2 linked regions of the Tribolium castaneum genome follow. The protein of the gene in region 1 purifies or fractionates together with the protein of each later gene. This does not show direct contact. Links are inferred from orthologs where the notes say so. Each region holds a gene or a part of one and is shown in the gene's direction. Other genes may lie near its edges.

What was found.
Region 2: the proteins of morgue (region 1) and SkpA purify together in Drosophila melanogaster (affinity purification with western blotting; 3 studies listed by BioGRID, with this or other methods). This does not show direct contact. The link is inferred for Tribolium castaneum from reciprocal best matches to the Drosophila melanogaster genes morgue and SkpA.

The regions. Positions count from the first base shown.
Region 1 is NC_087403.1:6,162,717-6,167,070, reverse strand, and holds the start of morgue (uncharacterized protein morgue), read left to right. Parts: upstream 1-1,226; 5' UTR 1,227-1,525; coding exon 1,526-1,651; intron 1,652-1,698; coding exon 1,699-1,821; intron 1,822-1,869; coding exon 1,870-2,068; intron 2,069-2,117; coding exon 2,118-2,293; intron 2,294-4,354.
Region 2 is NC_087402.1:1,039,140-1,041,761, reverse strand, and holds SkpA (S-phase kinase-associated protein 1), read left to right. Parts: upstream 1-1,363; 5' UTR 1,364-1,441; coding exon 1,442-1,930; 3' UTR 1,931-2,023; downstream 2,024-2,622. Other genes in the region: mitochondrial ornithine transporter 1, read left to right, coding at 1-275; uncharacterized protein LOC103312555, read right to left, coding at 382-535, 583-657, 706-845, 1,077-1,079.

The DNA.
Region 1 (4,354 bases):
ATCTGATGAAATAATGCGGTAAACGATAAAAGTACGTAAAGGCGCCAAATTGTAAACGAGAAATAACAATTTTTACAGATAATTATTAATTTAAATTCTAAAGAATTGTAGGACAATTCTAAAAAAATCACAGGCATAAAGAGAAATACAAGGTATTTAATAACAAACGCTGAATCTAGTGCGATTATTTGTTTTTAAAGTATAGTAAAAATATTTATACCTACTTTTATTGACACCCTGTACTAACGAAAAATCACTGGATCAGAACATCAGAAGTTTTTGGTTTGTTTGTGTCTTTTTACGCACGTTTCTCAGCCAGAAACAAAAAATTTCGGTATTAACAGGCCATTAAATTAGGCCACATATGGTGTTAGACTTGCTTTTTGCGAGTTTTTTAACTCGTTTCGCTCGATTTAGCTCTTTTTGGTCGAAGATGTTGTTTTCTGCTTTTATCAAGTTTTCAAATAAAAGTATTTAAGGTTTCTGAACGATTTTTTTAAACTGATCGAAAAACAAAAACAAATTAAGTCGTTAAACCTAGTTACATTATAGCTTTGTTCGAGCATTTTATTTCATTTAAATTTATTGAGAAGTGCAATTATTTCGGAAAACTTCCTTTCTACAAGTCAAACATTTACCACATTAGGCTAAAAATAGTATTAAACTTGCCTTTTTCGTGAGATTTTAATATAAAAATATTTTTTTTTGAAAAATTTTGGTAAATTTTGTTTTTTTCCTGCCCGTTTATGCAATTATTTTAAGAAATTATGTTATAAACCAGTTGAAAATTTACTAGTCTAGACAAGAAGCAATCTTAAATAAATGTGCCTTCTTCAATAGTTTAAACAGGTTTTGTGAGGTAACAATATTTTTTTTAATCGTGCTTTAACTGTTTGAAAACTTTTTAAATTACGTAGCACTTGAGCCAGTTTCATTCGATTTAGTTTATTTTTAGGCAAAATTTTGCCAAAAATAAGTCAAAAAAACAAATTTTTTTATAGAAAATGCCTATTTGTATAGATTTTTGTCTTGTTTTTGATCTAAATCATTTATGTTTTTTCTCATATTGGCTAAATCTGACCGAATTGAGTCGATAATTGCATTATTTGTGCATTTTTTTGCATTGTTGCTGTTTGATTTTTTTTTTACTCGAATTGGCGCTGCTAATTCGAGAATTCGAGCTGAAAATCATTCGGTAACTCGAACTAACCACCGCAAACTGTCATGTTGTTGCTGTCAAAGCCGTCATAAATTGATAATGTTATTATTATTGTGGTTTTTGTTAGTTATGGAAGAGTAGAACAGAAAATTCGATAAGTTAATTATTTTTTAATAATTTACACTCGGTTTTATAACCGTTGAAACGTATTTATGTTTGGTTATAACCTGCATAACCTTACTTTTGGAAATGTTTTATTTTGGAAAAATCGCATTTGCATGTGCTGTTGTTTTTTTCCTGTCAATGTCAAACAAATTTTAATTTGACACAATTCACATCAAAATTGGGAATGCGCTAGAAAAAACCATGTTTCCTGAAGATACGTTTGCAATTTGTGATCCACGACGTGATGAAGACTGTCGCAAGAACGGGGACAAGGAGGTGCACCCGAAAATCAACGGAAATCGGAGAAATTCCTGCGCGATTGTAACAGTAAGTGTCGGGATTTTTTTTCCCGGAAAATAACACGGGTGTTGCAGAATACGTGCCACACGTGCAATGGGTATTATGGGCCGTGCTTTGACGACCCTGTGTGCTCCACCTGCCACGCTTTTCTGTACCCCAACACTGCCCCCATTATGGACAGGCCCTCAACCTTCCAAGTAAATAAAAAATGATTTATATGCCTTGTAAGTAGAGGAAACTTTCAGAGATCCAGTGATAGTGATTCGGGCAATGACGAGCCGGTGGATAACAGTCAGGAAAGCATGCCCAACGTCCCCCTTTACGAGGACTTCGTGGGCAAAATGGCCCCCGTAAGGGTGGATACCCTGACTAAAGAAATACAAAGGCTCTCAAACGTCACTCATCACGTAACTGACTTGAATTTAGAGCTATTTCCACCGGAAGGTTTGCCTTTTTTGCAATTTATCTCAAAAAACTGACACTTTAATTGCAGTTCTTATGCATATGTTTAAATATTTAGACGAAATTTCGCTGTGGAGCATAGGTCAAGTTTGTAGCAGGTGGCGGGAGATACTTTTCATGTGTGTGAAGCTCGAGCGTTGGCGAGACTTTGTGCGCTTAAGGTGGCCGTTGTTGCCTTTATATGATTACGAACAAGACTGGTATGAAGTAAGTCGTTTGGTATTTTGTTTGGTAAAATTTTACTGAGGCACATTCAATACACATGATAGATTACTGAAGTTTTCAGAGGAATCTTGTCATTTTTTTTTAAAATATTTAATTTTTTATTTAATTATTTATTTACACAACGGAAGTTTGCTAATTTAAAGTATTTTTTACTACCTCTTAACAACTACTAATCACACAGAATTTAGCGTTTGCTATTAAATACTTTCTATTTTTGTTTATGCATGTAAATTTCTTCAGATTTTTTGTACAATTCCTTATAATAAAAATTCTTAATTAAAAATATTATTATTTATAAAATTAAATATTAGTTAATGGATTTTTTTCATTTCTTGATGTTATTTTAAAAGAAATAATGCTTAAATGGTGTTTTGAGCAACAAATATTGCTAACTCCAAAATTACATTTGTTGAATTTTTTTATTTATACATCTTTATTTAATTATTTCTTAGGTCTAAAATGATTTTTAAGCGGCACTGTTGCGTTTAGACTGTCATAAGAATTAATAATATTGTGCAGCGACTTGATATTAATTAATTAAATTAATTTTTATTAAAGAACTGTAGAAAAAAATCTGAAAAAATTCACATGCACAGAGAAAATTATTGAGTATTTAATAGCAAACGCTGATTCTTGTGATTATTAGACTTATCTTGAATATTATTTATTTATTATTAATGTTTCTTGAAATAATTTTAATTCTAAGCAAATAATAATTATTAAATACTTGAATGTGGATAAATACGACGCCAGACTGATAAAAAAGTGAAGTTTTCAGAGGAATTTTGTCATTTTATTTATTTACACAAGGTGAGTCTGTTAAAAGTATTTTTACTATATCTTAAAAACCAATAATCACACAGAAGTCAGCGTTAAGTATTAAATGCTTTTTTTTTCTTTATGCATGTGAATTTTTTTAGATTTATTCTAGAATTTATTATAATAAAAATTAATTAATTAAAAATATTAATAAAATAAAAAATATTTCGATATTAGTTAATGGAAATATTTTTATTTCTAGGTGTTATTCTAAAACAAACAATGCTTAAATTTATTTATGTTTTATTTTTATTTCTTAGGCCTAGTATCATTTTTTTACCTATTTCTGAACAAAACGATATTTTAGCATTTTAGCATTGTTTGTTTAAGACTGTCATAAGAAAAAATGGTTTTTTTTGCTAATACTTGATATTAATTAATTTAATTAATTTCTTTTAAGGAATTGTATTTAGTTATTTTAATATTATTTAATAGCAATTGCTGATTTTTGTGATAATTAGACTTATCTTGAATATTTTTTTAAATTATTTATTATATTTTTATGTTAATTTCTTACAATAATTTTAATTACAACCAAACAATTATTTTTTTGAACATTTATTTTTTCATTGGTAGGTTTCCACCCATTAGAACCATTAGACCCTGTTGGTGTTTAACATTTGATTTAATGTTTTGTGGTGTTTTATTTACTGGAGCTACAGTTTTTATTACTAAATTTTGAAATACCTACTCGTATAATAATTAAAAAAAATACCTGTAATTTAATTACACACCAACGTCTATGTTTCTGTTTTTCTCCTATTTTTAAGGTGTGTTTGCTTTTTATAATTTTTTTTGTGTTTAAATTTTATGTTAAGTATTGTCATGTTAATTATTATAAAAAAATAATAGAAACAATCACATTTTTTAAAATAATTTAAGAACAGAAATCGTTTTGTGTACTTTTGTTGTATTTTATTATTGTTTTATGTATTTTATTTTTTACATTTTTTGTATGTTTATTAGAAAGATAAATTTAAATGTGCACAAATACGTTAGATTATTTAATCAATATAATTTAAATACAATATACATACGTAAAATAGTTAGCGCCAGTCCCAAAAAATAATTGACTAATAAAAATTGAAAATTTAAACAAGCGTAATTTTGGGACATGTTTTTTACTTATTTTTTGCATGGTTTGTTAGAATGACACAAGAAATAATAAAATTTTGATTAAATTAACATTTATTGCAAGGAATTGTAGAAAAGACCAGAAAAAAA
Region 2 (2,622 bases), on another chromosome or scaffold:
ACGATATAGGCTTGTTTAAGACAATGGTGGCGGGGGCTTTGGGGGGCATGTCTTTCTGGACGTTGACTTATCCAGTCGATGTGGCCAAAAGTCGGATTCAAGTCACTAATAGTAAAATGAATATGGTTGCAATGATTTTGCAAATATCGAGGCGGGAAGGCTTCAGACAGCTTTATAACGGGTTGACTCCAACGTTAGTTCGGACTATTCCATCCACTGCCACTCTTTTTGCAACTTACGAGTATTCCAAAAGATTCCTCCACCAAATTTTCTGATTAGAAATAAAACTCGAACATAGTTTTTATATTTTATTTTTATCCAATAAATAAATAAATAGGAATACTGGGGTAATACTGTCCGGCCTGTCTTTTATTATTCTCCTCACTTCAGATAATTGCTATTTTCGGGATCGAACTCGGGGGACGATTCTATGGCTTTTTTCAGTAGTTCCCCGAAAAGACTCGGACTGTTAAGGATTGTAGGGAAATCGCGGGACCGGTCAATCCCCGAAAAATCGGAATCCAGGGCTGGCACCCTAACAAATGAATCAAACTTTTGCACTTTAATTGTTTTAATGACTACCTGTACTCGTCACTGAGACGGCTTAAAATGTCTCGCTTTTGCTGCCCGCGGCACACGGGAGAAAAAATGTGTGTCCTTAAATAATTAATTAATTAAATAAACCTGATATTATGTAATTAGTACCTGCAATGATTTTTTTTCAGCAAGTTGGGGTTTTTGACCAAAGCCCCGTGGGTAATTTCAATAGATAGGAAAATAATGCTGACGAATAACAACAAAGTGATTCGGTGGTCCGTAATGGACTTTTTCATTGTTGTGGAACCCTAAAAATCAGATAACAATTTGTTTGTGTTTTGCTCCAAAACACTTGAGAAGTCAAGTTAGATAAGAATTGGAAGTTTTCAAGTAATAAAGATTCGGTCAATTGTTGCGTCAGATTGTTACAATTAGTTGTTTTTATGCAATAAAGAGTGTTATCGCAAAAATTTCAAAATAATGTGTAAGAAAGAGGGTGATAAGGAGAAAATCAAAAAAGACGACTCAGACAGACTTACCATTGTTTGGCTTGGAGACAGGCGGTGAAGACGGACAATCTGGCTCCCAAATTCTTGGGCCACCTCTTTTAAATCAAGAGCGGGGTCTTGCGCAAACCAAGTGCAACAATTTTAACGCACAATTAAGCTTTATATTGCGGCTCTTCCCATATTACATTATCCGAGGCAAATAACGCGCTACGTGTTTTGATGAAAATTTTGCCGCGTCATTGCGTATTTGCTGCAATAACTCGTTTTGAATTAATTTGTTTATAACAATTGGTTCGAATCTGGCGCCCGTGTGGGGACGCTTGCGCGTTACACCTGTCATCCACCATTATTGCCGTCTATTGTCATATTCTGTCATCGAAGAAAAACCGTGAAAAATGCCGAATATTAAACTGCGTTCCTCCGACGGTGAAACGTTCGAGGTGGACGTGGAGATCGCGAAATGTTCAGTGACCATCAAGACCATGCTGGAGGACCTGGGGATGGACGAGGAGGAAGAGGAAGTGGTGCCTCTCCCCAATGTCAATTCGGCGATTTTGAAGAAAGTTATCCAGTGGTCCACTTATCACAAAGATGATCCTCCACCGCCCGAAGACGACGAGAACAAGGAGAAACGCACGGATGATATTTCGTCATGGGACGCCGATTTTCTCAAAGTGGACCAAGGCACTTTGTTTGAGCTGATCCTGGCGGCGAATTACCTGGACATCAAGGGGCTGCTCGATGTGACTTGCAAGACAGTCGCCAACATGATCAAGGGCAAGGCCCCCGAGGAGATCCGCAAGACTTTCAACATCAAGAACGACTTCACAGCCTCCGAGGAGGAGCAAGTGCGCAAGGAGAACGAATGGTGTGAGGAGAAGTAAACTCGTATTTTTTTTATTTAAGATTATTTCCAAAATTGCGTTCATTGTTTTATTGTAATATGATTATTTAAATCAAACGCCATTTCGACCCAACTGGTTGTTTATTTGCACCTTAACCAATTATAATAGGTGTCGGATAAAATATAGTATACAAGTGTTAAAATACGCCATAATCATCGCAAGACCCCGCCTCGTTCCCGCAAATGCGGGCCCCCATAAACGCCCCCATTAAAACCGCTACAAATATCATCGTTAAAAACCCTAAAAAGTACAGCCACGTCCTGGAGGAACACAAGGACCACCAACACCTACAACTCGCAATTAATTGGCAGCTTTTTAACCACAACTAACCCTCGGGTAAAACACCCATTTCGCTTGATTTCATCCTCCACGAAATTTTCCGACTTGGATAGTTGTTCATTCATTAATTTAATAATTTTGCATTTGATGTGTTTGAGCTTCTGTTTCGTTTCCAAAACGTCGCAGTCACAATCATCATCACGGCTCATTAAACTGGAATTGTGTTAGGATTAAGGAAATTCAATTTGTAGTGTGCAAATTGAGATTATGACGTTAAGGTGTCATTTTGGGCACGTAACTTCAGTGTCACAAAGGGACCCCGAATTACGAGCTAAACCACTGACCTGGTTTCTTGCCAATTCTGTTTGTTTGTCAGTGTACATCAGCGATTT